Caenorhabditis elegans: one gene and its partners. The protein of the gene in region 1 purifies or fractionates together with the protein of each later gene. This does not show direct contact. Each region holds a gene or a part of one and is shown on either strand. Other genes may lie near its edges.

What was found.
Region 2: the proteins of tag-65 (region 1) and snr-1 fractionate together in Caenorhabditis elegans (co-fractionation; one large-scale study listed by BioGRID). This does not show direct contact.
Region 3: the proteins of tag-65 (region 1) and snr-7 fractionate together in Caenorhabditis elegans (co-fractionation; one large-scale study listed by BioGRID). This does not show direct contact.
Region 4: the proteins of tag-65 (region 1) and sftb-6 fractionate together in Caenorhabditis elegans (co-fractionation; one large-scale study listed by BioGRID). This does not show direct contact.

Annotation. Positions count from the first base shown.
Region 1 is NC_003283.11:13,673,412-13,682,285, forward strand, and holds tag-65 (CID domain-containing protein), read right to left. Parts: upstream 5,177-8,874; 5' UTR 5,172-5,176; coding exon 5,072-5,171; intron 5,017-5,071; coding exon 4,877-5,016; intron 4,834-4,876; coding exon 4,693-4,833; intron 4,643-4,692; coding exon 4,491-4,642; intron 4,444-4,490; coding exon 4,091-4,443; intron 4,042-4,090; coding exon 3,767-4,041; intron 3,718-3,766; coding exon 3,593-3,717; intron 3,544-3,592; coding exon 3,061-3,543; intron 3,012-3,060; coding exon 2,900-3,011; intron 2,851-2,899; coding exon 2,704-2,850; 3' UTR 2,611-2,703; downstream 1-2,610. Other genes in the region: F58G11.4 (MFS domain-containing protein), read left to right, coding at 1-35, 80-215, 480-778, 1,354-1,770, 1,814-1,983, 2,360-2,504; ccz-1 (Vacuolar fusion protein CCZ1 homolog), read left to right, coding at 5,465-5,549, 5,596-5,705, 5,755-6,065, 6,108-6,673, 7,373-7,496, 7,554-7,821, 7,870-7,992.
Region 2 is NC_003282.8:17,084,416-17,091,914, forward strand, and holds snr-1 (Small nuclear ribonucleoprotein Sm D3), read left to right. Parts: upstream 1-3,633; 5' UTR 3,634-3,643; coding exon 3,644-3,719; intron 3,720-3,769; coding exon 3,770-3,897; intron 3,898-3,948; coding exon 3,949-4,155; 3' UTR 4,156-4,435; downstream 4,436-7,499. Other genes in the region: snx-13 (Sorting nexin-13), read right to left, coding at 820-1,277, 1,922-2,020, 2,072-2,313, 2,390-2,511, 2,560-2,761, 2,808-2,914; Y116A8C.43 (Lipoprotein), read left to right, coding at 4,436-4,606, 4,732-4,938, 4,990-5,067, 5,409-5,626, 6,180-6,231; Y116A8C.27 (ATP synthase mitochondrial F1 complex assembly factor 2), read right to left, coding at 6,327-6,545, 6,981-7,081, 7,160-7,329. UniProt on the Caenorhabditis elegans protein: Plays a role in pre-mRNA splicing as a core component of the spliceosomal U1, U2, U4 and U5 small nuclear ribonucleoproteins (snRNPs), the building blocks of the spliceosome.
Region 3 is NC_003279.8:2,723,347-2,730,344, reverse strand, and holds snr-7 (putative small nuclear ribonucleoprotein G), read right to left. Parts: upstream 3,332-6,998; 5' UTR 3,328-3,331; coding exon 3,199-3,327; intron 3,146-3,198; coding exon 3,041-3,145; 3' UTR 2,963-3,040; downstream 1-2,962. Other genes in the region: yop-1 (Receptor expression-enhancing protein), read right to left, coding at 109-335; Y71F9B.6 (Cyclin N-terminal domain-containing protein), read left to right, coding at 3,694-3,816, 3,870-4,027, 4,079-4,206, 4,275-4,359, 4,438-4,587, 4,944-5,118, 6,178-6,618. UniProt on the Caenorhabditis elegans protein: Plays a role in pre-mRNA splicing as a core component of the spliceosomal U1, U2, U4 and U5 small nuclear ribonucleoproteins (snRNPs), the building blocks of the spliceosome.
Region 4 is NC_003280.10:94,406-101,396, reverse strand, and holds sftb-6 (Splicing factor 3B subunit 6-like protein), read right to left. Parts: upstream 2,994-6,991; 5' UTR 2,987-2,993; coding exon 2,838-2,986; intron 2,772-2,837; coding exon 2,504-2,771; 3' UTR 2,436-2,503; downstream 1-2,435. Other genes in the region: C50D2.10 (Transcriptional regulator), read right to left, coding at 1,301-1,446, 1,492-1,534; luc-7L3 (Luc7-like protein 3), read left to right, coding at 3,455-3,550, 3,596-3,850, 3,901-4,155, 4,216-4,338, 4,590-4,642, 5,001-5,178; C50D2.7 (putative ADP-dependent glucokinase), read left to right, coding at 6,141-6,235, 6,814-6,991.

The DNA of each region.
Region 1 (8,874 bases):
TCGCAGCAGCATGGTGGACTAAAAAACGGTATAAGGTAAATACATTAAATAGTTAAAAAACTTTTAAACAAATGTTCAGGGCAAAAAACCAATGTGTGTTGGATATCTTTTAATGTTACTTTCCAATTGTCTATTCCTCTTGGCTGATCATGTTCCAGCAGAAACTAGTGCATTCTACATTATGTTGTGTAGATTTTTAGGTGGTCTTGGAATGGGTAAGTCGTTATGATTGCTTTATTTCTAATTCAAATAGTCTCATAGCAGCTATTTTTGTATTTTTGTAACTATTTCAAAGATTTCAAACGTGGTTTTAATATTTCATTTAGCAAAATTCACACATCAAGCTTGGGTCGAATCAGAAAAAGTAAAGTGGTTCCACATTAGAAATGATAAATTGATATTCAAATTTAAAAAAAAGTATTGAACTCGCCGACTACTCCGAAAAGTAAATATATCTAGCTAATTCTCAAATTCTCTAGGAAATACGTCAACTTTACGTACAACCCTAACTGCTCATTCAATGTCCGATGATCGTGCAAAAGCAATGTCAGTATTTATTGGTGGACGTGCTCTTGGGCTCATTCTTGGTCCAGGGCTCCAATTGATTTTCTTATTTCTTGGAGATACTGGACTTCAACTTATCGGTCCATTGCATATTCATTCTCATAATGCAGCAGCGTTCATTTCAATTGTGTTAAATATATCTGCAATTGTTGCATTGTTTACAGTATATCATGAAATTGAAAGAAATGGAAATAGTTGCAGTCAGAGGAGTGTTGTAAGTGTTTTTTTCCATTTTCACGAAAAATCTCTACAGGTAAGGAAAGTAAATAATTTTTAATAATATAAAATTTTTTCGAAGTTTTCAATAAGTTTCTAAAAAAATAATAATAAAAAACTTATTCCGAATGTTAATGTGCCCTTATTACTATACTATTTTCGAAACAAAGTCTTTAAATTTTTCCGAAAGCTTCCAACAATTTTGAAGGTTCTTTTTATAATTTTAGAAGTTTTCAATAAATGTGTTCAGCATTTCAAAACTTTATAAACTTTTCCAAAAACATGTAAAACTTTTAAAAATATTCCAGGTTTTTATAAAACTCTCAAATTTTTCGGATCCCAAAATTGGATCAGCTTCTTTCCTTGTTTTTTACTCAAAAATTTTAAATTTTAATTCAGAATTTCTATAGAACCACTACAGTAACCTGGAATTATCTTCCTAACTCCAACTCGTTATCACTTCAAAAGACAACACTTTTTAGTCTAAAAACTATGAACATACGGAATAATTGATTTATATATAGTTGATGATTCCATTTTTCCATTTTAAAAAAAATTATATAAAAAATTCAGGAAGACGATGAAAATTGGCCTCGACCAGATAAACTTGCAATGTTCGTCTGCATGCTGACAAGATATTGCCAAAACTTTACATATTATGCAATTGAAACACTTGCTCCAGCATTCATGATGATGATGTTTAATATGGAAAGAGATTCTGCAGTCGGTACAATGTCCATTATTTTCTTCATCGCCGGAGTCTTCGCACTATCTCTCTACAGTACTTTTGTCTTCACGGATGTTGCTCGAAAATTGAATATTGGAAAAGTGAATACAATTAGTTTGATAATATTTATCATATATGTTCTAACAACATATCAATGGCCGTATATTCCAACGAATGTAGTTGTGAATACAGATGGAACTCACGGAGGATGTGATTATTCATTATATTCATGGTGTTTAGGACTTCCAAAAACATCTCAAGCGGTGCGATAATTCTCAGGGTTACTGTAATTTGACGATTTTACAGTTCTTCTACATTGGATATATTATAGCTTTTGGTGGTTGTGTCCCATTTATAAATGTTGGAGATGCCACGCTTTATTCAAAACTATTCAATCCAGTTGGCCAAGCATTGGAGCAAAGTCTCTATGACGTTTCCCAAGTTTTTGCGAGAGTTGTAGCTCCTGTTCTTTGCACGTAAGCTTGAACTTCGAAGGAAATGCTCTGCTAAAAAATATTTCACTTGGTAACTCGACACGACAAAATTTTGTTAACTAAAAAATGTGTGCCTTTAAAAAGTACTGTAATTTCAAACTTTGAATGCTGCGCATAATTTATCTATAAAATATGCTTATTCTCTAAAAAACTCAAATAAAACGATACAAATCGTATCAAATCTGTGAGAAAAACTTTGAAGAATCTATGAAAATTCCGCATCTTTGAAATTACAGTATTCTTTAAAGGCGCACGCTTTTTTGCAATCAGCAAAATTTGTCGTATCGAGACCGGGAACAGTAGTTTTATGCGGAAGAATAGCAAACTCCGCGCCTTGGTAGTATTTGTTTTGTTTCAGAGCAATATACGCATCATTTGGTCCTCAAAGAGTTTGGGAGCTTTTATTCGCCCAGTTAGTTGTCGTCACTGCTCTCTGGATAGCTTTTGCCCATCGAATGATCCCACTTCGCCCCAAGCCACGTCCAGTCTTCTACCTTGAATAATTCAATCTCATGCTTCAACTCACAAAAGATTGTGAATGTCTGTAAAAAAATAGACGGCTACGTCGCCAATCATCGCTTCGCATTAGCTTTAATAATGTGTATGTTTCGGAGATCATTTTAATGATGATAAAATAAACAAATTAATGATTTCTCAACAATTATTGCATAACAAAAAAAATAAATTTAAAACGTAGAGATTCTATTTTCGGTGAAAACTTCCTCGGTCGTGGTATGTTCCAGATCGTTGTTTTCTGAACTGCTCATATGGATCAAGTGAACGACCAAGGCCCATAAATTGCTCATTTCTATTACGAACTTCTCCACCAGACACAGGATCAACGATTCCCTGAAAAATTGGAAAATTATTTCTGAAAAATAAATATTTTGATTCTTACACTTTCATTTGCTCCCAATCCTTTTCCTCCCCAACCCATTTTAGCCATAAGTTGGGCACCTTTGTTATCGTACGAGAGTGGTTCCTGGGCAGATTTGAATCCAAACGAAGGTCTGGAAATATAATTTTTAATATCAACATTTTTTTATTAATCAAACAAACCTTTCACTGAAACCTCCTCCGCCGTATCCTCGCTGTCCAATGTTACTGTCTCTTCCTCTTTCCGGAGACGATTTTCTGCTAGAAGAAGAGGATCTTGACGAAGAACCCGAAGACCTAGATGAATTCGATGAAGATCGTTGTCGTCTTCTCGGGCTTGGACTTCGTGACGGCGACCTCGATCTCTTGTGGTCTCTAGGAGGGGATCGTGAATTGGAACGCCTCGCCTCGGAATCTTCTCTTAAATTTTCGGGTGGCTCCTGTGAAGCATAGTATGCGTCGACGCATTTACGAATTTTTTCAATTTGATCTTCTTCTTTCAATTTTCTTGTTTTGTCAAATCGTTCTCGATCAGTTGCAGATGGTCGATTTGTGATAAATTCTTCGACAGAACATTTTTGTTTTTCTTCGAATGTCTTTTTAATACGTGCCTTTTCTTCCAAAAACTCAAGAGGGTATTTCAAGTTGGTCGGATCTTCGGTGATTCTGTAAATAATTAATTTAATAAAAAATTGAATTGATTTTGAGAACGTACGCTCCATCGGCCAAAGCAATATCCATTTCGACACCTTTGTGGAACATATTCTTAGCAGCAAGTAGTCTTGATGACGGTGGAACTGATGCTGGCATTTCAAGTTCTTCTGGGTCCAATGGTTCATACTTGAATCAAATAAAATATAAATTGACAAAATATCGGATCATAACATACCATGACACTATTCATCGAAACTAGTGGAGTCATAATTCCAGCCGGTAAAGCCATATACGATTTCTGTGGCTTCAAATTTTCCTCATCAAACGGCATTCCATCAATATCTTCTCCATCGTCCTGCTGGTCATTTTGATTCCATGTGTTCGAAACAGAAGCGTGTGGTCGTTCAGCTGAATGTTTTGGAGCTTGATCAAATCTTGATCTTCTCATGTTTGACAGTGGAGCATTAGGATGATGCGATGCAGGTCCGGATGATGGCCCATGACGAAACTCTGTAAGAACCAATTTTTAAAATTTTCAGACTAAATTTCTATTTCTCACCATCAATTTTTCTCTCAACTTCGTCAATTTGTCTTTGAATATGCTGGGAATATGTGACATGCTGTTGTTCATATCCATCAAACGTTGCCATCAGATTACTTCGAATCGACTCCCGAATTGTTCCATAAGATGATTTTTCAATTTCTCTGTCAGTGCTAACAATTTGAACTGTATTCCTGAGTTGTTTGAATACAGAATCAGCGAAATATTGTCGACCTTCCCATTCTCCTAAAAGCTTTCCTTCTAACTTGTTGCTCAACTCACTCGACGAAGAAAGTTCTATACAATATGCATACATTTTTGGAACGTATCGAGCCAGCATTTTCATTTGATTTTCTTCTTTTTTTCTTTGACTGAAATTTGGTATTTAACGACGTTTTGTTCAGTATTCTAAGCTTACCAATGAAATGCCCAATCATTGATTAAATATAGAATATGAAGTCGTAGATATTCTCCAGATGCTTCATCTTTAACTTTATTTAACAGAAAAGACAGTATTATTTCTCTCAGCTGATCGCTTGTGCAGTATTCGAAAATCCACTTTTTCGCTTGCTGAAGAAAATTTTTCGTCAAATTTCTTTATTTTTTGAAAAATTACTTACTGAAATCAAATCTTTAGAGCATTTCGGTGTAGCCATTGCATCTAAATAGGAATTGAGATCTTCCACGTTCAGATTATTCTGACTCAACATCTTCTCAATTTTCATTGTTTCAGAAGTTCGAATAGCAGATTTAAGATGTGCCTGGATAAACGTGGATACAAGATTGTATGTTTGCAAAACACACCATTAGGAGCTCGTCCATTCCATTTCTGTGAGCGTTCAAATTCTGCTCACTGTCGATAATCTTTTGACGTAACTCATCGATTTTCTTGCGCCATTCGACAATCTCTGGTGGATCCATCAGAGAAGGAATCGACTGCCGTTCTGAAAAGTCAAAAATTAATGATTTACAATCTTGAAACGTTTAAAAGATTCAAACCTGGTGGAGGGAAGTCCCTAGGGAGTGGAATATCGCCACTGCGCCATGATTGACCGTGCTGAGAGCTACTGCCACCTCTCCAGCTAGAATTTTCATTCATGTCGTCTAAAAGTTATATGTTTATATGATCAAATATTTTATCTCTTTCTTGTGACAAATAAACAATATATATATTCTGCATGGTTTTGCAGAAAATTTGCGGAGGATTTAAAAAATAAATCGAGACATGCGCCAGTGATCAAGTTTTGCGTCAGTGAACAACGTTTGCGTCAATCATTTATGTCTGCTACCCTCCTAGTCTCACACACTCTTTTTCTCTCTTTTATTTTATTTTATTTTTAATTTTAATTTTAACACTGCACGGTACAAAACATATATTTTGCTTTTTTCAGAATGGAGTCGATTGCAAATCCATTGTATTTCTTCTCCAACTTGTCATTAAACCCGCCATCCTGCTCTAATGTGGTCAGATTCATTGGTAATTGAATTTTAATTAAAAAAACGAAATAATTATGTTTTTACAGATGTCCTTGAATTCTTTTTCGTGGCGCATCCATTATCAGGACGAAAAGAAGGCGAAGAACATAATCGTGTGATGTATTTTCATCCGAAAGGCGAGCAATTAGAGAGACAGGTTTTCAATATCGTAATACTTTTTATTCTAATAACTGTATTAATTTCAGACCGAAATAACAGGATTCGCAGAAGCCGTTGTTAACTTTACAGAAAATTTCTTGAGCACCTCCCGTCGGGAAATCAGTGAAAGAATTAGTGAAAATGAAGATGGTTTCGATTTCCGAACTGTGACGACGCAGAGAACAGAGCACGTTTATATTCGTACAGAAGACGATCAATTTATTCTTGGAGTATCAATTTCTAAACAATTATCATTGGTTTCTGATTATCCTCTATTTCAACCAGCGATTAGGAGTATACTTTCCGATGCCTACAAAATGTTTCGAATGTTTTTTGGAACTTTTTCTTCTTTTATCAAGTAAGTTAAAGTCTAGTTTATAAAAATAAAAATATCTTTCAGAAATGTTCCCGACGACATTCCAAAATTCAAAGAACGCCTTGATTTTTTCTTCTCCAAGTACATCCCACTACTGAAAGTTCACAAAATGCCACTACTTGATCATCTTGGAGGCGTCGAATTTCTACGAATGTCTGGTCCTCTCTACTTGAACGTTGTTTCTTTACTTTCCGAACTTCGTGAAGAATTCCAAGTTATCGAGAAAATAATGTTCTTGTATCAAGATAAACTTCTCTACTATCAACTTTCGAAACGCGATCTTCCATCACTATTTCATTATTTGACACATAATTTGCTTCCAACAACATTGGCTCCAGAACTTGAACATTCTGGAAGAAATGCTTCAAAAGGAAGATATCTACGAGGACCAACAGATTTAACAACAGATGCTCCGTTGCTCGGTGATGAGTCACTTTCTGTAGTTCATTTGCATTCCGATCAAGGAACTGAATTTCAAGAAGAACTCATCGGATACCAGATGATCGTTTATCGATGTCTAAATGCAACAGTTTGCATGTTTGTCAGAAATTGTCCAGCAAATGGTGGATTAGAAATCAGAAGGGATTCTGGTGAGTTTTTAAAAATAGTTTTTCGAAACGAAACGTTCTTATTACGTTTTGAGAATAAATTGAAAATAAAAAAGCGATTTTCAACTCTTGCTAATCTGCTAATTTGAATTGCCGCTCTTTTGTATCTAAAATCCACCCGTAGAACCGTGCCGCGCCTCGTTTTTTTGCAATTGTACCGCAAATTTGTCTTTTTGTGTTGTTTTTTTATTCTTAATATAGAAAAATGGCATAAATGATCAAATATATTTTTTTGTATATCAAAAGAATTAAAAAATCGTATCGAACCCGAAAAAAGTACATGTTCCTGAAATTCTAAACACAAGGAAACGTTTTTAAAAATGATTTCTAAATGCTTTTGAAATAGGAAAAATATTTTTGAACATTTTTGAATTTTTCTTCATTAAAAATTAGTCAAGAAACACAAAAAAGAAGAATTCGTGTCGAAATTGAAAAAAAAAGTCGAAGTGCGGCACGGTTCTATGGGCGGAGTTTAGAGACAAAAGCGTGGTAATTCAAATAAAGGGATTAGCAAAAGTTGAATTTTCATCAAAATCAGATTTTTTCCAAATTTGGTGGATTTTTCTCATCTTTCTTATGTGATATTTCGGCACATTAAACTACTTTTAAGGTAATATCTACATTTTCCGAACTCCACCTTTAAACAAAATAAATCTTTTTCCGACTTATTTTCTTTTCCAGAATCATCTCAATCATCTCGCGCCACTCCTTCACAGAATGGTGTTGTCAGTCGTCGACTTCTTCGAAATATTGATCAGTTTTTGGAAACCGAACTTTCACAAGTAGCGAGTAAAATTGGTGACGAGTAAGTTCAAACTTACATTATATCACAATAAATTCCATTAAATTCCATTAATTTCAGAATCGGCGACGAAAAGTTCCCGGAAGCTCCAGATTTCCATTACATTTACTTCAATCCATCATCGTTATCCATGACCTCAAGCCTTTCAACATCTCCGAAGCTTCCCGTTGCCGCTTCTGGATCTAATTCAACATTAAAAGTACCACTGCCACCAGTTGATGTTAATCGTTTAGTATGTGATACAATGAGCAATTTTGTGTCGGAAACTGAAGAATTTGGTGAATGTTTCGTCAAATCTTCAAGTGATTGGTGGATTGTTATCAAAAAGGTAACAACATTCTTGGCAAAAACAAAATTCAATGTTTTTATTTTTCAGGTTAATTCTCGCCTCCTTGTCTTAATCATTCCTCCATCCAACTACACATCATCCCTTGCCGATGTCCAATCAAAAACTGCAACAATTGTTCGATCCCATTTCGAAGCCATATTTTTTAGTTGATAATATTCATATTTTCCCATGCATGTGTGCCAAAATTTTGTGATATTTGCCTATAATTCAATTCCGTTGCCTTGTACTTTTATATCTTATTCAATTTTTTCTACAGATCTATATTTATATAAAGCTTTTCAATTTTAGAACATGAGAAACATGTTGGGCTCCACATATACTGCCGGGGAATTTCGAAAATCGGATGAGTGCCCTTTGATGCTGAAAATTAGATTTAGTCAAAAGATCTGATCATGCTCCCCCTCGACCACTCCGACGGCTCCTTTGCTCTTTTTCCACACGATTTTCGACATTTTCTTCAAATTTCTTCTTTTTCTTCTCTCTTCAGCAAAAAGCTTTTCATTTTAATAATCCAATTGACTTTTGAAATTTCCCCCCCCCCCCCGCACTCTCATGACTTCTTGCCAAAAATTTATATATATATTTCTGATGTTTATATGTATATGTGTCGTCAAGGTGACAAATGCATGTACATTTTATAAGGGAGGTCTGAGAAGAGAACCACCAAGAAATAAAGTGGGTGGAGTTTCTTAAAGAGGCAAGAAGGCAATGAGATGGAGGGGCAGGTGAGCATATTGAAGGGAAAACGAATTTATTGCTCTCTCGATATTGACTCTCGGGGACCTTCATTTACCCTCTTTTTGAATGAGATTTTCTTTTGCCCAAGTGAGATTTCGTCTCGCCACGAGCGAAAGTTTTCAGCTACCGTACCCTCTAGTACTGTAAATTTTTAATTAAAAATGTCACTCAACAAATTTGTGGCCTTTCCATGAAAACACCCAAAAATCCGAGTAAGACAAGAATATAATTGATGAAATTGAGCAAAACACTCTCACAATCAGGTACATATGTACCAGGGATGCCACCAAAATT
Region 2 (7,499 bases), on another chromosome or scaffold:
GACCGGAGAAAGCGCGAAAATGAGCAAAATCGAGCTTTTTTCAGTCAATAAGTGCGAAAAAATTAATTTCCAGTTGTCCACGAGAAGTACACGCCCGGCGCGCCGCAGGGTTGCAAATCTTCGCTCCGCCCCTTTTTCAGTGCGGCATTGCGTTTTTTGCAGGATTTTTGACCGAAAATACTTGATTTTGGGTCATTTTCGCTGATTTTTTCAGTGTTTTTCATCAAAAATAGACCAAAAAAAGAGATTTTGCACAGAAAATAGCTCAAAAACTGTGCATTTCGGGATTTTTCATACGAAAAACGGAATTTCTCTAGTTATCATATCAAACTTTTTTGATTTTTGACACTTTCGAGTTGAAAAATAGGGAATTTTGGATTTTTCAGATCTAAAATCATATTTCTTCAAGCTTTCACAATGAAAACGGTTAAAAAACCACAAACTCTCGATTTTGGGAAATTTTTGAACGAAAACACTATAAATAAGTGATATATTGCGAATTTTGAATGTTAAACACAAAAAAAATCAGCAAAAATGACCTAAAACCAAAAAGTTTAGCAGAAAGACTGAGAAAATGCAAAAAATTAATTTCCAGTTGTCCACGAGAAGTACACGCTCGGCGCGCCGCAGGGTTGCAAATCTTCGCTCCGCCCATTTTTCTGTGCGGCATGCGTTTCTTGCAGGATTTTTGACCGAAAATTCTTTATTTTGGGTCATTTTCGCTGATCTTTTCAGTGTTTTTCATCAAAAATGGTGTTCTAAAGCAAAACTAAGCCAAAAAAACTGCAAAATCACACAAGTAGGACATTTCCAATGTACCTCAATGGCTAAATAAAGATCAATATAATTTTGACCGCCAGCTGATTTGAGAAATTCGCAGAACTGTGACAGAGCAATAGAATTCGTGAGAATAACGTGAAGTGGAAGCTGTACAAGTTGATCTCCATCTTCGCCAAATTTCGTGAGCAACGCGGAATCTTTGGATCCCAAGAAGTCGATTCGCCGCTGAACTAGATTTTCGACGAATTGTAGACTGGCTAGTTGTTGTTTAACGAAAGTATCCTGTTCTCCACCGGAATCCTTCCCTCTCATTACAATTTTTTCGTCAGCAATCGCTCGGAACACGGCTTCCAGCTCTTCGATGGATGTTGAACTCGTGAGACACGCCACAAAATCATCGGGTTTTGGTTCCACTTCACTGAGAAGCCAAACGATTAATTGAAATATTTCATTTGGATCGGAGAGGTAGTCCAGAGTAGGCAGAATCACTTTTCTTACTGAAAAAAAAAAATAATAACTAGATTTTTAAATGTTATTTTCGTTTTTTTATCCATTTTTCGCCAGCAAAGAGCGTTGCGAGACCTTCTATGTCCCTTTAAAAGTTGTGTAGATTTACGAGCACCGTGTACTATGCGAGGACAAGCGTTTTTTTCGGCAAAAATGTCTGAGATTTCCTATTTTCTGAAGAAAAATTGTGTGTTTCGATGGTTTTGTTGCTATTTTTTGAAAAATCGAAAAACTTTAAATTTTTGGATTTCAAAAAAGTTAACGAAAAATATTTTTTAGTTTTTTCCCCGATTTTTCGAAAAATAGCATTAAAATTTTTCGATTTTCAACAAAAAATCAATAAAAAATTATTTTTTCTATAATTTTTTTTATTATTTTAGGCAGAATTAAATTTAAAACGCAAAAAACCGTGAAATCCTGCTAGAAAATACGTTTTTCATGCTTGTCCACGAGTATACTCGTGGCTCGCAAATCTACACATCTTTTAAAGGGACATTGACTTTTTTTTCAGAAAAAAATTAAATTTTCCATCAAATTTCGGTCATTTTTTGTCTTTTTAGAAGAAAATTCGATTTAAAAATTGATTTTATTTTTTCAATTTTTCTCAATTTCCTGAATATCTTCCGACACTGACCAACAACTTCTCGAAGCAAGAATCTCAGCGGCCGACATCTAAAATCTTCCGGTGGCATTATTAAATAGAGAATTATATCGACAAGATCATGAAGATAGGCTGAAAAATCGGAAAAAATTGAATTTTTTCATCGAAAATCTCAATTTTTACCATTTTCATAATGCGGTGTAGTTGAAAGAAGATCTCTACACAACGATTTTTCCATTTCCAGCTCAAAATCAAAGAAATTGCTGAGCAATTCCGCTTCCAAATCTTCAGGGGATAATGTTTTATCTTTTTCCTTCGCTTGAAATGCAGTTCTTTCCTTAGCTTTCCGGAAAAGCCGTAAATGAGAAGCAAAATCGTCGACAACGTCACGCGTGAGCAATGGAACCCAATCAACCTGGCGGAGACTGGAAATTTGAGATTTTATTGATTTTTTTCCATTTTTTGTTTTATAAAATAAAATTTTATTAATGAGCTACACACCATTGTGTCAATGAGGCAATTGATCTTCGGGAGGTTCTCTTTAAGCTTTGTTCAAAAATATTATCATTTGAAAGTGTTTTATACCAAAAGCCGACGTAATCCCGTGTTATATTGCCGAGAATCTAAAAAAAAATATTTTTAATAACATTTCAGTCCACATAAATCCCTACTTGTTCTAAAACCAAATCTAATTGCGGTGAATTGCACATTGAATGCACCTCCACATATTGATTTTGCTCTTTGAGTCGTTTTCCATTTTTCAGCAGAGCCTCAATTCCCGCAGATAATTTTCCTTTTTGCAGATTTTCGGATAAAATTCCAGCGATTTCGTCATGTTTTTCGTGTCCCGTTTGATAGAAAATGTAGAGAAATCTGAAGGTATTCCAGTTTAAGGTTTTTCTAAAGAATTAAAGCTTACCCCGCTACGAAACAGAGGATACTGGCTGGAAGAACGATTAGACCGGTTGAACCGAATGTTGCTAGGAAAAGGACTACAGCAAGGAGAATATAAAGCCGATTTGACATTTTTCTAGAGAATTTTCCGATTTTTCTTCATATTTTACATAAAATTATGGAAATTCATCTGTAAAATCTGGTAAATAATTAAAAAATTCTATGCGCATTCCGTAAAACTAGTATCTCGGGGACAAGGGAACGTGAGATTTGAAATAGTTTCTGGCAGCTTTACAAATGAAAATTGCTGTATTTTTTTAGTATTTATAATTGATTAAGAATAATATAATAGTTTTCATTTAATTAAATATTTAAATTTGCATTTTACATAAATGCTAGTCTCCAATTTCGGCGTTCTTGCGTCTCCGGGAAGTTAACTTCATGAGGCCCTTCCCGCAAACGCGCCCCACTGCACACGCTGCGTGCTGCGTCGCGTGCCTTATTTTCGAATTTTATTCCCTTCATTTTTCATTTTGAGCTCTTCATTTTTCGTAATTTTTAGAAAGAAAAACCGTTTTATTTCTAGATTTTCTTCAAAATAAAGTTCTAAAACACATTTTTCTCATCTGGAAATCCATTTGTTGCCACATTTTTCTTGCAACGCGTGCAAATTCTAGAATTTTCCGAAAAAACTTCATTTTCGGGGTTTTATTCCTTTTTTGTCTATTATGCTCAGCATATTTCAAATGAGAACAAACTTTACCGTGAAAAGTGTGAAAATCTGAAATTTTAGGCGATTCTACTTCTTTTTTCTAACGTTTTCTCCCTTCAAGCCGAATCTACAGAATCAAAATTTTCAGAATGACTTCAGTTGGTGTCCCAATCAAGATTCTTCATGAGGCCGAAGGTCACATGGTCACGCTCGAAACCGTTACAGGTAATCATTTTCGAATTTCCCGTCGCTCAATAAATACTTTTCTATTCCAGGCGAAGTTTACCGAGGAAAACTTTCTGAAGCCGAAGACAACATGAACTGTCAGCTGGCTGAAACCGTTGTGACTTTCCGCGACGGAAGAAGTCATCAATTGGACAACGTTTTCATTCGCGGAAACAAGGTTTTTCACCATTTTTCTCTAAATTTCAGCTGTAAACCAATCAATTTCCAGATCCGATTCATGATTCTGCCGGATATGCTCAAAAACGCGCCAATGTTCAAAAATATCGGAAGAGCCCAGAAAGGAGCCATTGGAATGGGTTTGGGAGGTCTCGATCAGCGTGGAAGAGGACGTGGAACCGCTTTCCGTCGACCAATGGGCCGTGGAGGACCACGTGGAATGTCTCGCCCGGGAGGAGCTCCAACGTTCCGTGGATAAGCACAACACGGCGCAAATATAATCAATTCTCTGTATTTTTTCTCTCTCTCGAGTCCCCCATTCTTCCAGTTTCTCTTCTTTTCAAAGCGTGCGCAGACCGTTGAATTTGACGTGATCTCCTGCTTGTCCCGGCTCCGCACTTTGTTATTTGTTGAATCATACTTCATTTTTCATAAATTATTTTCCAGAAAAAAGACGACGACAAACTGGTTTCGGAGATTTCCCTGTAAGATTACCACAATTCCAAAGTGTGGTATTCGCCTAGAATATAACTGGCGAAATGGTAAATCATTCGCCAGTCGTCTTCTTTTTGTTCTCCTTATTCTTTTATTCGCATTTAAATGGAGCATTCGATGATGCAGAGCATTTTCCAAAAGGGATAGAGGATAGAGCCAAACTTTTGGCACGGGCAGACCAGTGTGTGCTAAAATATTTAGAGTTTACCGGCAAAGTGAGTAATTTTTCGCAAAAAATTGAGCGAAAAACTTGAAAATCCACGTTTTTTTTCGAGCCGCTCCGCTTGCTATTGCGTCGCGGTCGCGAATATTCTGTTATTTTTTTTATTTCTCTGTTCAGAAGCTTTCACATCTGCCGTACACTGTAAAACGATGTGCTCTCTCGGAATATTTCACTTGGGAAGAGTCTGGAACATTTTTTCCGTTTCAAAAATGCAATAATTTCGTGTTTTTCGGGGGAAATTCCCTCCAAATATTGAATAATACCGATTTTAAGATGCTCAATTGCAAATATTTGATTATCGATTCGAGGGAGAACCTCCGTGGAGTTTGTAGTTTATAGTCGAAGAAATGAACTTTTAAATTCTGAAATTTTCAGCTTGAAAATTATAAAAAAGTAGATGATCTTTCAAAATCACAACTAAACAATGCTCTGCTTCAATTTAAAGAAGAAAATGTAAGCTGAAAATACAAATTTAATTTAAAAATATTTTTGAAATCGAGGTGCAATCGCCCCCAACGCGAAAAGGTCTCGTTTTGGCGGGGAAACTGGGGATTCAAATATTTTGCGACCTTTTTTAGTCTTTTTTTTGTTGCTCTGACCGTTTTTTTAAATTATTTTTCTGCTAAAAATGTAATTTTTTCTGAAAATCGTCAAGAACAACTGAAAAAACGTAAAAATGTTTAAAAAAAACATGTGAAAACGTTTGAATGTCTAATTTTTGCCGCCAATACCCAACGAGATTCCGTGGAGCGCGATTGCACCAACCTTAATTTCGAAAAGGGCATGTTTTCCAGGTAATAGAGCATATTTTCATCTTTGAAATGAAAGAAATTGAAAATTATTTGGATAACCTTCTGAAAATTAGAAAAATATATTCCCTTATTGTATGCCAAATTACGATTCGTGTACCGACGTTTGTCGGGGAAGATGTGATTTGGCAATTTGCAGAGAATATTTTAAGAGATGATTATTATATTTTGTTGAAAATCACCAAAGAAGCAAGTTATATAGAGTAAGTTTGAATTTTCAAAAAAAAATTCAATTTTCTTTCAAAAGTAAAAAAAATCAGTTTTTATGATGAGAAAACCGAATTTTCAATAATTTCCGGTAATATTTCAACGGCACTTCTTAATTTGTACGCGCCTTTTGAAATCGAGGCGCAATCGCGCTCCAACGCGAAAAAGTTGGGTACCGTTAGGAACTGGCGGCAAAACGATAAATTCAAACGTTTTCAGTTATTTTTCGGCTTATTTTCGTTATTTCTCTGGTGGTGTTTTATAATTTTTTTTGTCAAAAAAATTCAATTTCGTCATAAAATGCATAAAAATCACTCAAAAAATCACAAAAAAGTCGAAAAATGCTTGATTTTCCCCGTTTTCGAGAATTTTTCGTATTTTCCGTAAATTTTTATGCCAAAAATCTGTTAAAAAAGTAATTTTGACGAAAAGTGCTCGAAAAACATTTGATTTTCTAGCTTTCCCGTCTAAAAGGTCCAATGTTCGGTGGAGCGCGATTTCCAAATTTGCATTTTTCTACGTCTCCATAATAACACGACATTTTTTCAGGTTCTACTTCTTCGCGAACAATGAATACCAATGTATGATGCGTTATTTATAAAATAATATTTTAATTAAAATGAAGAAATGAATTTAAAAAAAACAAAACAAACAATTACTAAAACAAGCTAAAAACTAGAGATTTTAAAAAAGAAATTAAACAGTTTTTGAAGTGAAATTATTTGAATTAAAATAGACAAAAAGACAAGCAGCCGACAGTCTTGTCATGAGTTCTTCTCTTTCAATTCCGTGAGCCCATTCAACATTTCCCCATGTTTCTGCTTGAGTTCTCTGTTCCAGTGTTGCTGCATCGATTGCTGTGTCTGGGTCGATGTGATGACGAATTGCGTTGTAGGCGATCACGAATGATTTGACCTAGAAATTTTTTTTGGATTTTTTAATAATTTTTTTTTGTAAAATTCATAAAAATTGAATTTTTGTGTTAAAAAAATTTCTGAAATTTTTTAAAAAACTATTTTATTTTTAAAATTTAGAAAATTTTAATATTCTTGTAAATTGCTTCCAATTTTGTAAAAACAAATTGAATTTTTTTTCGATTAAAAAAACTAAATAAAAATTTCTTCAATAAAATGATTTTGGATTAAAGAAAGTTGATTTTTTTAGAAGATTTTGAAAAATTAATTGCAAAAAATTTTTTTGGTAAAATGTTTTGGATTTTTTGTTGCTTTTTTGTGTGAAGATGTGAAATTTTTAGAGCTTCTAATTCAGAAATCTCATTTCTTAAAATGATAGGTAAGGTAATCAAGGTAGGTAAGGCAGGTAAGGTAGGTAGATAGGTAGGCATCTTACCGATTCAGTTGCATACTGAAGCCCAACAAGAGCCGGGAAATTGTGCTGACGAATCCATCTGTCGATTTTTTCCTTATCGTTCTCGCTGGCCACGTCACAGTCTATAATTTTTTGGAATTTTTATTAAATTTTTTTTATTCGAAAATTTAAAAAATCCCATTTTCCAAAACCACAAATACCTAAAATATTCTCGCTGGGGCGAACTTTAATTCCCAAATCGTTATTCAAATTCTTGATAAGCGGAGCCCATTTCTCCTCCTGGTAGCGATGAAGTTTCGAGCTTTCCGTATTGAAGAACAATACAGTGTCACCTTCCACGTAATCGAGGATTTTTTGAGAAATTGTGTCGCTGAAAATGGACGATTTTTTGGTTTAAAAAAAAATTTAACTACAAAAAAGTTGATTTTTCAAAAAACAAAAAAAAATTGTTTAAAAATTAATAATTTTTTAGAAAATGGAAAAAAACGAGTTTTTTGAAAAAGTCCTGTAAACAATTTTTTCAGAATTTTTTCCAATAAT
Region 3 (6,998 bases), on another chromosome or scaffold:
TTTAAAAAAATCAACAAAAAAGAGCGAAAATCCGTGCCGCAGGGTTGCAAAATTACGCCCCGCCTCTTTTTCTGTGCGGCAGTTTTCTTTGTTGCAAAATTCGCGAACCTCATGTAAGCCGGGTAGACGAATCCCATAAAGTTGCACACAAGCTGGGCGGAATGTCCGAAAATGAGGTAGAGAGCCTGAAGACCGACGACGCCGAGCACCAAATGAAGCCGCTTGACTCCGGTCTTCTGCTCAACGGTCGCCAGCACGTTGGTGACGGTGCTCGGCTCGTGGAGCTGCTTGTCGACATCGTCCAAGACCTTTTGCACTTGTGGTGGGACAGGCATTGGGCGCTGGAAAATTGGATGTTGAGAGGAATGACTTGGCGGCGGAGAAGAAGAAGAGACAAAAAAGCGATAAAATAAAAAGAGTTATGATGTGAACCAGTCAGGGCTGTGCATTTTTATTCTGTTTCCGGGGTCAAAAATTCGGAATTCTGAGAGAAAGTGAACAGTTTGGGCCCCAAGCTAGTCCTCTGAGCCAAAAAATTGAGAAAAAAGTGATGAATTTATCACCTTTTTCAATTTTTATCTTGCTCAGAAGCCTAGCTTAGGGACCAAACCCCAGGTAAAATATTCTCAATATATTTAATTTATAAATTTTTGAGGTGGTGGTGTAGTCGAATTTTTTAATTGCTTTATTAGACTCAAAATTGTCTGAAAACACCGAATTTCATAATGAAACTTCTTGAAAACTTCTCAAAAAAAAAGTTTTGACGGCTGAAAAAATGGTCTAAAAATTTGTTAAAATTTTAAATTTGGCCGACTTGTCAAGCGGCTGGAAACTTTTTTTTGAAATTACCGTAAAATTTTGAGTATACAATCCAATTATCTTGCGTTTTCAACTCGATTTAGGTACTTTAAAGTCGATGGACGGCGAGATTTGGTTAAAAAAATTGTGAAATCTCGCCGTCCATGGACTTTAAAATACCTAAATGAAGTTAAAAACGCAAGATAATTACATTGTATACTCAAAATTTGACGGTGATTTTGTTTCCAGCCGCTTGACAAGTTGGTCGAATTTCAAATTTTAACTAATTTTAGGCCATTTTGGAGCCGTCATAAACTTTTTTTGAGAAGTTACACTATGAAATTCGGTGTTTTCAGACAATTTTGAGTCTAATAAAGCTATTTTTAAAAAAATTAGACTACACCACCTTAAAGAGAATAAAGATGCGAATTTTTTCACCCCCGAAAAGAAAACTTATACAAAAAAGGCGAAGAGTTCTTCAAATTGAATCTCCAAAGAACACACACACACAAATCGCATCAAAATGTGCCTATAGCCAACCGGAGCCGGATCAGCAGCAGCAGCAGTAGTAGTAGTAGCCAATAGCTGTTGAGAGGAGGACAGAAAGAGCGAGTGATAACTGGCCAAGTGTTCCCGGGAGAAGACGAAAAACCCAGAGAGAGAGAGCACGGCGAAAACGGAACGGGAATGGAATCAATCGATGATAGTCAAACGGCAACACAAAGGGCACAATCCATTGTGTGTGTGTGTGTGCGTGAGTGATTTGTCATTGAAACAACTTCAGAATGACATAGTGCCACGGAGGAGACGGGAGGAGAGAGAACAAAGTACAAGTGATTCGCGCCGGAGATCAGATCAAAATAATTTGAATTGATTTGAAATGTTCACCAGAAAAATTGTGGGTCTGCATTTTTAAAAGACGGCGTAAATGGGAATTATTACAAAATAAAAAACGCGGAATCATAACAGAATTAATTTTTTATTTTTAAAATCGGGATTTTGCAATTTTGGCTAAATTCCTTTAAAAAATGAACGATCAATCAGTTGGAGTGTGGAGAATTCAGCCAAAATTGAAAAAAATCGCGTTTTTTTTATTCGGATTTTATATTATTTCGCGATTTTCTTCCGGTTTTTCCTGAATTCGAGTCAAAACATTGGATTTTCTGAAGCTTTTGAAATTATTCGACTTGAAAAAAGGTGATTTTTCCTAATTATCACTGAAAAGCGTTCAATTTTCAAAAGAGAACATCGATAATTTTCGGTTTTTCTCAGCAAAATGTGAAATCGAAGTAGAAAACTCTTGTTCAAATCCAGATCAGGTTTGGGGATTGGCGCCAATTTTTCAAAATGACCTATTGTGACATGTTGATTCATTTAAAATTGATGTGAAATTATAGAAAATCACTTGATTTATCTAAAACAAACATTTATTTCAGTCGAAACACTTGAGGAAGAGCTCAAAAATGGCCTGAAATTAGCAAATTCAGGCTATTTTTCAGCATTTTCTCGCATGTTTCAACTGAAATGGGTGTTATTTTCAGATAAATCGTCTGATTTCTATATTTTGGCGAGAAATCAAGCGAATTCACTGAATTCCGGCTGAGAATCTGCCGCGTTTTGAAAATTGATATTTCAACTCTTCGACGGCTGCAGCCACAAGAGTACGGAAAGATGAGAAAGCACATCTCGTACAGCTTTCGGATGATGATAGGCGTGTGTGTGGAACATTTTTCTGTTTTGAAAGAAGAAAATAGGTCGGCAGAAAAAGAGATAAGAAGTGGGGAAAGAGTATTCTTTTTTGCTGCTGTTGTGCCGAGTAAGAGTAACGAGAAGAATAAAGAGAGAAAAATGTGGAGAGCGTCGTCGACCGCACATAGTGGAAAGAGAAGAGGGATACACAAGTCTCTCCGTGTTTTTGTTACTCTGTTTCGTGCCTCTCTTCAAAATGAACACTATTTCGTTCAATTTGAGCCGTGGAAAAACAAAATGCTGAAAAAAAGCTTTACGATTGATTTTTTTTATGCCTGCAATAATAAAACATAACTTTTGGTACATTTGTTTGTGAATTGATTCTATTTGCGAAGTTCTTATCTATACGAAATTCACGTGAATCAGAGATGAGAAGTGGGTTTTGACCACGTAGTTATCAAAAATTATCAAAAAAAAGGTTCAAAAATTTAATATCAAAATTTGAAAATGAAAACATTGAGAAAGTGACAGGAAATTGTGGAGATCGAAAAATCTAGGAGATTCTCTCCTTGGGCTCCATGATGACGACGGAGTTTCCGCGAATGACAGTCATGCCGAGGTTGACGGATCCTCCGTCCTTTTGGTACTCGACAGCTTCCTGCAATATTAAATTTTAGAATAAATTAGACAAAAACGGAAAAAGAAACATACGTCGATGACCATGTTCATGAATGGATCGAAACCGCGGAGGATTCCAGAGACGCGACGGTTTCCGTTGAGCTTCAAGTCCATCTCCTTGTCCATGTACTTTTTGAGCTCTGGTGGATGTGTCTTACTCATTTTTCTGAAAAATTGAGAATTTGCAGGGGGAAATGAAAATGAAGAATGGAAAAATCATCAAAGAAACAGATTTTACTTAAAATAGAAAATAAAGCTCATTTTTCAACTTCCACCTATCGAAAATTCAGATAATACATTAATTATAACATTTTTTAACTAATTTTTCAAAGAATAAACATGATAATTATCAGGAAAATTGGATGAAAAAGGCTAAAATCGACGAAATTATTTTTCGAAATTCGAATAGTACGCAAACACCACGCTTGGTACACCATAAATGACGACAAGTTGCAGACGCTTGCACACCGTACTCACACAATTCTTATCGGATTTCCGAGCTTTTTCTTTTCGTTTTTCCAATTTTAGATGGTAAAAAAGAAGAGTAACTATCATATTCTCGTCGCACAAAATTTCTTATCAAATATCAGTGTTGATGGAAGCCACAATGACACAAATCTTCGAATTTTCCAAACAAAAGGCCTTCCGAAGGTGAGAATCTTGGTTTTTCAGCGATTTTCGTAACTAATTGATAATTTTTTCAGATATCTCCAACGGAAAAGAAGTTTTCAAACGGCGCAAGCTCCACAACCACCATCCGCAACAATGAATCAGTGATCTCACTCGGAACATCCGCTTCACTCGGAGAACGGCTAAGCTCGTCGAATTTGCCGCAGGAATACGCGGAGACACCACAGAAAAAGTGAAAATTAGTTGAAAATCAATATAATTAATTAATTTTCTCTATTTATAGAACTTCAATCTTCCGAAGAATCGCGAAAATCATGAGCTCCGACGACGTGATCTATTCAATGACCGCCACAAACAGTAGATCTCCGATTCTTGAAGAAGGCGTCGGGAGAGAAGATAGTGGGCTGATTGGTGAGCTGGCGAGCTTATAAAAGCTTACAAAACTTGAAATAAAATAAATTAATTCAAAATTTTCACAGAATTTCGCTCAGAATCACCATCTTGTTCTTCAAATCAGTTCAGTTTTCTGAGAAGGCTCAAAAGCACCATTACCCATGCAGATAGGTGAGTTCAACCATCATAAAATCCTCTAAAATCCCCCACACTAACCGTTCCGTGTTGCGAACTAACCCACATTTTCAGATTTTACATCTGCACCTCGACGAATGGCCAGCCTCTGGCAGTTTTCTCGTATATCTCGCCGAACAGCGACTACGTGGATCCGCTGGCGCCGATTTTCGCCAACACAACCGTCAATAAGAAGAAATTCCGATCGAAATCGATTTTTGGAAGGTTTAGAATTAACATCTCCTCTATAATTTATATCTTCTACCTAATTTTCCCCGAAAACTGGCAATTATCTAACAAAATTTCACAAAAAAAGCGCAGGAATTCAGAAATTTCGGCTATGCGATCTTAAAGGCACATGGGTTTATTCAGCTGTGCATCGACGCGAAAAGACAGCATGTGGTAGTTTTTTTTGTTAAATTTTTCAGTTTTCAGACCGAAAAAAAGGAAAACAACGCAAATTTTCAGCAGAAAGTAAGAAAAAACGCTGCAATTTGCTAAAAATCCGTGCGCCTTTAGGTCAAAATCTTGAAAAAATACGATAAATTCCCATAATTTCACCTTATAATCCAATTTTCCAGCTCGGATCGCATGCGGCATCAGGCTCACTTATCAACAGAAGAGCTGCGGCCATTTGTCTTCCGAGACGCTGAAGATCAAGTAATTCTGGGGCAGATTCGCCGAAAGCGGAATCCTTCGCCGTTTTTCACGCTGTTCGACAAGTCGCCCGCCTCGATTTCCAGGAAAGAGCGGAGGGTGAGGCTTTGAATTTTGAATTTTAAGATTCAAAATCCGCGGAAAAAAGGCGAATTTTAGCTAAAATCTTCAATTTTACCGAGTTTTTCGTGTCGTAGCAGGCGAAAATTCGTATTTTTGCAAATTTTGCTCGTTTATTTCACTTTATATCGTTGATTTTCGTACTGTTTAAAGATGGAGTAGCGCCAGTGAGGAAATTGCTTTAAAACATGCCTATGGGGCCACAATGGCCGAATATCATGATAAAAAATTTTTGAAAAATGTTCTAAATTTTACATGATTTTTTGAAAATTGAAAAAATCTCAGTTTTTGCCTAATTCCTATTCGAATTTCCGCCAATTGGATTTGTTCGATTGAGCGCGCTTGCACGTTTTTAAATTTATTTATTTTATTTTTTGTTATTTTCCACCGATTTTTAATGTTTTCGGTGTATTTTTGCTCGAATATTAGAGAAAAAGTCAAAATGATTGCAAATTTTCAATTAAAAAGCACTCTTACAGGCGTAAATCAGTGAAATCAATTAATTCAGGTTCGAAATCGTTTAAAAGCGTTACTTTTTGATTTTTACGCCTGTTTGCTTTTTAATCAAAAATTTGCATTTATTTTGACTTTTTCTCTAAAATTCCACCAAAAATACACCGAAAACATTAAAAATCGGTGGAAAATAACAAAAAATAAAATAAATTAATTTAAAAACGTGCAAGCGCGCTCCATCGAACAAATCCAAATGGCGGTAATTCAAATAGGAATTAGGGGAAAACTGAGATTTTTTCAATTTTCAAAAAATCATATAAAATTTAGAACATTTTTCTGAATTTTTTATCATGATATTCGGTCATTGTGGTACCATAGGCGTGTTTTAAAGCTATTTCCCCACTGGCGCTACTCCACCGTTAAGGTCTGTAATAATGGATTTATGAAACTTAAAAACTGGCAAAATTGAAGATTTTCACTAAAATAAACCTTTTTTTCGGAATTTTTCGTTCACTTGAGCAGATTTTGAGTCTTAAAATGTGAATTTTAGGTGAAAAGTTGATAAAAAATCGAAAATTTTTACAGGAAAGCTTCCGAAACGGCGAAACCTCGGAGGAAATGTTTGCGGAAACCATCGAAGTTCCACAAGCCGTAAATCGAGATTCAAGCTATGAACGTGGAACTTCAATCGATGAAAAATGCGATTTAGACGCCAGCCGATCAGATGAACCATCATCAGAAGTCATCGATGAGTACGATCCGATCGCATTTTCCGAGTTGGGAATCGGAAAACGGACTGTAATCCGTCACGAGTGTTGCGTGGCAAGCACACTTCATTGTGAATCGGCGGAGAGGGCGAAACAAGTGATAAATGAGGATTTCGAGGCGAAATACCCAATGATTCATCTGACATTGAGCAAAATGAAGAGTTTGAAGCGAGAAATGGCAGAACTTGGGGTCTCGAATGGAATTGATGTGTATACGGTGGCAACTGCTTATGTGTACTTTGAGAAAATTATTCTTAAGGTTAGAAAGAACGAAATTGCAACGATTAAGCTTAAAAAGTGATTAAAAAGCTCAAAAATTGCGAAAATCTGAAGAAAAAACCTGATAATGGTTAAAGGGAGGCCGCATTTGGAGGTGGATGGGTCTCGCCGCGAATCTCGTTTAGCAATTAAGCTATGCGCCTTTAAGGTTACTGTAGGCAATTTTCAAACTTTTTAAATGCATTTTCTAGTCGATTTGAATCGAAAATCTTTTTTTTCCATTGAAAATCTAAATTTTTAGAGCGACTTTTAGCCCAAAAAGCTTTAATCTTAGTTTATAATCGACATAATGCAACAAAAAATAGAAAATAGCATAAATTACGTCTAAAAAATGATTTAAAAGCTTAAACTTTGAGAAAC
Region 4 (6,991 bases), on another chromosome or scaffold:
GAGCTGGCAATGAGCCCTGGAAAGCCGGCCCGACTTGCCGAGAAAGGGTGACAAAGTGTGGCGACGGAGAGAGGCGTCGGGCCCGCTAAATTTGGTGTTTCTACAGCCAAAAGGTGAGTGAAAGGTGACAATTTGTTTTTTCATTGAAAAATTAGGAACTTTTTGTCGTAATTTCACATAAGGTGAGGCGAAGGCGGCAAATTGGTGAGAGAAAGGTGAGACGACCCTAAAAGGTGAGAGAAAGACGGCACGAAATGCCGAGCCTATTGAGTGCGTCACAACTAGAACAGACAAACGGACACAGAAATCTGGGTCTCGCAGTTTTTTTTTTCAATTAAAAAAATTTAATTTATTCAAAAAAATTGTTTTAAAAAAAATCAGAGAACGAGATCACGAAAAAACTTGATAAATCCGCTTTTCTCTTTAAAAAATTCCACCAAAAACTGTTTCTCGAAGAAAATTTCGAAGTTGATGCAACTATCCAGATGTTCCAAGTGAAAACATTTTCCTGTGAGAATGGTGTCGTCTCCGTAGAATTTGTTGGATTTCCTTTCATAAAGTGATTGTACATCTTTTAGAAGAAACAAAAAAAATAGAGAGCACATGTGAGATCGGATGGCTCCACAGGAAATTGTGAATTACTGGGAGGGGGTCAAATTAGCAATTCTACACGTTTGTCGAGAGGAGGGTGAAGGTCTAAATCTAGCAAAAAAAAAACCAGAAAAAAGTGACCAGATTAAAAATCGATATTGAAAGGGGGCTCAAAAGGGAGAAAAAACGTCAAATTTTAAGAGAAACAAAAAAATAGAGAGCACATGTGAGATCCATCAGTACGAGAAACCTTCCTTAGCATCGTTCATCATTCTCTCCATCCTGAAAAACCTTTGTATATTTAGGGAAAAACTGGCAATTTTTACTTTTTTTTGGTTTCCGACTCAGTTCTCTTTCTGGACTTGGTTTTTGCTTCTTCTCTTGACAAGTCGTGACAATTCACAGCATGAGCAACAGCTCCATCCTTGTCACAATAATCCGAACTTCAGATTGTGCAGCGAAAGGGTTTCTTCACGACGTGTGCATTGAAAATGTGATGATCCCTGGAAAAACAACTATGGCTTTACTTATTTTAATTTATTTACTCACATCTGGCACCATTTGATCATTTTGTGGCATTGCGGGCAGCCGAACTTCGAATCAGGATCGGTCGTAGAGTCTTAAACACGATTTAAAATTTTTTAAACATTTTCCTTATAAAAATACCGCTTACTTACTTAGGATACTAGTACTTACTTTGAACGATATATTACTGAACAGTCATCGCTCCAGCTGGTGCTTCAGGGCCGGTCGCTTCTGGAATTCCCATTACCCGACTGTCTTGAAGAGCGGCGACGGCAAGATGCTCATTTCCGTCGAGATTCAAGAATCTTTGAATGTTGCTAAACGTGGCAACTGAAATAAAAACGTTCGAATTCAGCAGTAATCATGATTACTTACCTTTGGAAGAAACGAATTCCGAGAGTGGAGTTGGAACTGGCATTCGAAAAAATAACCTTAACTGCAAAATGAATAAAACCACTGCAACTTTTTTCGAACGAGGGACGAGGCAAAAAGGTTTCTAGGCCATGGTCGAGTCCCCGACAAATTTCAGCGGCCATTTATCTTGCTTTGTTTTCTGCGTGTTTTCTTTCATTTTTCACCGATTTTTTCCGTTTCTTCTTATCAAAACAAATAAATATATTTTTTTTGCAGATGCTAAAACAATTTCCAAGTGAAAAAATTGTGAATTGAGTCGGCAAGTAGCAGTGAAAGTGGGCAATGTAATATGATGGATTACGGCTATACAAAACTCAAACTTTTTCTGAAACATGATATATATGCTTTTAAGATGCTGAAAGTACCTGATTTTCATAACGAGACAGCTAAAAAAGTTTTTAGATTTTCAAAATTCAACATTTTGTGCCAAAATCTCGACTTTTTTACCAAAAAAGTTGAATTTTGAAAATCTCAAAACTTTTTCAGCGGTCTCATTATGAAAATCAGGTACTTTTAGCATCTAAACATCATATGTATCATGTTTGGGGAAAAGTTTGGGTTTTGTATTCCCGTAATCCATCATATTACATTGACCACTTTCACCGCTACTTGCCGGCTGAATTCACAATTTTTTCATCTGGAAATTATTTTAGCATTAACAAAAAATATTTATTTATCAGTTTTAATAAGAAAACACGGGAAAAATCGGTGAAAAACACAAGAAAAGAAAGCAAGTAGAAAATGTCGTAAAATGCGGTGTATTGTGTGCAAACACCGATTTTTCGCATTTTTTCTCACCCCTCGTTCGAAAAAAGTTGCAGTGAAAACTACATGGGAAAGGCTTCTAGAAATACTTCTCAGCTACTCTTTATACTTTTTTCATGAAAAGTTCAAAGAAAAATAATCACAGAGAAATTATCATTCATTGAAGGTTGAGGGAAATGATAAAATAAGGTTTAAAGAAACACGATATTTAAATTCTTCTTGGAGTGAACAATCCCAACTTCTCCTTTTCCTTGTCGATGTCTCCACCAATTCCATATCTTTCTTTGATATCTTCAAGCTTGGTACGAGCCTTTTCCGTGTCCATTCTCTTCCACGCTTTTGTCGCTTGATAATAGAGCACCACAAGATACCGATTCGAAACGTTATAGCCAGACAGATGTTCGCAGGCGGTTTTCGCATCGAATATGTCCTCGTAGACGACGAATGCAGTTCCGCGAGTTTCTGCAGTGTTTCCGCTGAAAAATCAATACTGGTCGGGCTTCTTCAAGAACAGGCAAAACCATAATTGTGCTTGAACTTACACTCGAATTTGCCGAACTGCTCCGAATTTTCCAAAAATCTCGTACATCTCTTCCGTCGTGATTTTATACGGCAAATTTTTAATATAAAGAATACGATTGACCTCTGGCGGCAGCTTTGCGCCACGGTTTTGACGATTTGCCATTGCCATTGTGAATCTGAAATTGAAAATTTGAAGAAAAAACGTAATAATAAGAGGCAAAAAGAGTCTCGAAAGCAAATTAAATTTTATAATTCGAAAGATTTTAGCCAACGACACTCCGAAATTCCACAGGGAATTCCACGCGCCTTGTTTATTCATCGAATTCTTTTTTGGTATTGTTTACTGAATTTTCTCAACATTTTTACTGAAAAATGATTCGAAATAGAAAATTCTATTGAATATATTTCATAATAATAATAAAAAAGTCGATAAAATAGTGATCTTAACGCGTTTTCTCAAAGGAAAATGCACAACAACGACACTCCGAAATTACGCATGCGCACTTTGTTTACCGTAAATATACACTAGTGTTTTTGCAAACAAACTTTTGTTTTTTTTCCGGCGAAACGATGTTTTTTTCTGTTATTTCAACCGATTTTTCTCTCAAACTTTCAACAAAAAATAAATTTTACAGTCATGTCGGCTCGCAACGCTATGGCAGCAATGCTCGACGAGCTAATGGGTCCCAAACGGAATGTTGAACTAGGAAAAGACACAAAAGTCACATTTGATGTAACTTAAATTTTTTCCCCTGGAACTATTGATAGATTATTACAGGATCCTGACATATGCCCGTACTTCCTGGTCGGTTTCTGTCCTCACGACATGTTCATCAATACAAAGGCAGATTTGGGAGCGTGCCAGCTAGTACATGACGATAATCTTCGAAGATTGTATCCAGAATCTCCAGAATATGGACAACTTGGCTTTGAAAGACGTCTTATGCGGTTTCTCGTTCAATTAGATGAAGATAATCAGCGAAGAATTCGAAAGAACAAAGACAAATTGTCCGGAATGGATGATAGTGGAAAGGTAAACTCTTTGAATCTGAAAAAAAATGTCGAAAACACGCAATTTTTCAGCGAAAGTTAGAGGAAGAGAAGCGTCAGGTACAATTGGAGATCAATTCGATAGATGATGTCCTGAAAAATATGATACGAGACGCAGAGCAAGCCGGCAGTGAGGGAAATGTGACAAAATGCCAGGAAATAGTCGCGAGAAGCGAGATGGTTGAAGCTGAAAAACGAGGTCTTGAAGAGAAACTTTCACAAATGAACGAACCGAACCCACAAGCCATGCCACCGATGCTTGACGAAATGGCAATTAAGCCAATGGAGGTAAATCTAAAAATCTAGAAGATTTAGACTGATTTTTATCCAAGAAAAATACAATTACAGGTTTGTGAAGTGTGTGGGAGCATGCTCATCGTGAATGACGCTCAACAGCGTATCGAAGAACATTTGACTGGAAAAATGCACACAGGTTTCCAAAAAATCCGGACTATGATTCAACAGCTTAAGGTAAATATGCACACGTATATATCATATTTATATATGCTTTTACTATTAGAAAATGGGCTCTGAAAAACGCTGAAATCTCTCAAGCACACAAGCTGACGTACAGGTATTCCCCCCAAAAAAATGGTTCAGGTTTTTTCACCCTCCCACGCCTTTTTACGTGTCATGGCTCAAAGAGCAGGTATATTTGACTGGAAAAAACTGGCAATATGTAGACGAATTTTTTCGCGGAAAATAAATTTAAAAAATTTCAGGAAAAGCTGAAGGAGTTTGAACAAGCCGAGGAGACTAAAAGAAAAGAGCGGAGGTACTAGCAATCAGGGGTGCAGCCGAAAAAATTAAAAAAAAAAATTTTTTTCGAAAAAAAAGTTTTTTTTTAAACAAAACCGAAAAACGACAATTTTCGGATTTTAAAACTTCTTTTTCGATTTTTCTGGAAAAAGCGAAAAATTTTCGATTTATCCATTTTTTTCAAACCGAAAACCGTAAATTTTTCGATTTTTGAAATAACCACAAATTTTTCGATTTCTTTAGAAACACCGTAAATTTTTAAATTTCTTTGTTGTAAAAACCGTAAATTTTCCAATTTTTTGGTTTTTTAACTTAAAAACCGGTAGCCCTGCTCACAATAAAATTTGATCAATCAGAAACTGAAATATTTTCAGAGAAAAACGTGCTGAAGCAGCAACAACATCTGACACTGAGCGCCGCCGTCACCGAAGTCGTTCTCCACATCGTTCCAGTCATGATTCCAGGGATTCCAGGGATTCCAGAGATCGTCGAGAGCATCGTCATCATGGATATGATAGAGATCGGAGACACCACAGAGATCGAAGATATTAGATTATTTTTTTACAAAATCGAATTTTTTGTTATACCTTTTTTTGAAATTGGAAAATTGAGAAAAGTTTCAAAAATGTTGTTTTTCGAAGTTTCGAAAATCGGTGAAAAAATTTCAAAAAATTAAGCTGATTTTAGTGAGAAAAACAATTAGAAAAACGATCCAAAATTATTACAATTTCGATATTTTTTCCTAAAATTCAATTTTTTCCCGAATTTTCCTGATATTCTGAAAATCGGTTTCAAAAAATTGAAAAAGCCGATTCAAAATTTTTAAACATTTTGACTTTTTTCCACATTTTTCCGATTTGTTTCGTTTTTAAAAAATACCGTTTCTCTCATTTTTATGTACTGGTATTTCTATCCGTTCCCTTTACAACCCTTCTAATTCAATTAGTTTGTTTCTTTTTTTTCTCTCTGTATCTGTAGAATTAATGACTTCTGATTTTTCCGTCCAAGTACCTAATTTTTCCCTTTTCTAAAATTCTCAAATACGAGATTCAATTCTTCTCTCTAAATTATTTTAAGTTCCACATAAAAACTCTTGTTTTTTTTTCTTTTTTGTTCAACTGCCTTGTTTCTAAAAAGGGTTTGATCCCCGGGAAATATCGATTTTTGGAAAAAAAATCAGAGACGAAGATATATACTCACAAACTGTATTCCCCCTTTTATGAACATTTCTTCAAAATTAAAAAAAAAACCGGTTTTGCATTCTGTTTTCTCAACTTTTCGATTATTAAAAAAATACATTCATATTTTAAACTTTTCCGGTCGATTCTCTATTAAAAAAATTATTTTTTGCATCAAAATCAACCAATTTACGAAAATTTTTTTTTAGAATCGTCGTATTTTTTCCGTATTTGCGACTGAAATAAAAAATCGAAAAAATCTTTTAGACAATTTTTTCCCCCAAAGGTTCTCACAATTTTTATATAATTTTTCAGGTATTCAGCACTGCCACACAAATGTTTTCCGAAACATTTGTACCGTCAATATTTTCATATAAACATCGACTATTACATCTTTCAGTGTTATTCTTCATAGTTCCATATTGGTATAGGTCTGTTTTATTGCAAATTTTTCTCAAAAAATCAAACAAAAAACTATTTTTTTCACGAAAAATCAATGGTTTAAAAAAATCACTAAAAATTGAACTTTTTTCCAAAAAAGAAATTTTTTTAAAAAGAAAATCACAAAAAATTAACTTTTATTCAAATCAATTATTTTTCTATAAAAATCACCGAAAAGTTGAACTTTCCTCAAAAAATGATTTGATTTTTTTGAAATTGAATCTTTTCCAAGTAATCACCAAATAAAAATAGAAAATGACTAAAGCTCAAATGTTTAACTTTAAAAAACGTTTTCCCGAAAAATCAATCAACAATTTAAAATTACACATTCTAAACAAATTGATTTTTTTTCTAAAAATCACCAAATAATCGAACTTTTTTTCCAAAAAAATCAATAAGAACGTCAAAATCAATTTTTAAAATAATTTGAAATCCAATTTTTTTTTTCATAAGAATTTGACTTTTTTAAATTTACTTCTAACGTAAATATTTCGTTTAAATTTTTTTTGTTTTAGGTTTTCTAAATAAAAAAATTAAAATTTTCGTAAATATTTATCGAATATTTCAGCTACTACAATGATCAACATCGTCTCTCGTCGTATTCAGTTGAGACGGCAATGTTTTTATCATGGGAGCGAGCAATCGTCAAGCCTGGAGCAATGTTCAAAAAAGCAGTTATAGGATTCAATTGCAACGTGGATCTGATTGTTAGCGGAGTTCGTGTGGTCGATGCGTTGAACACGACG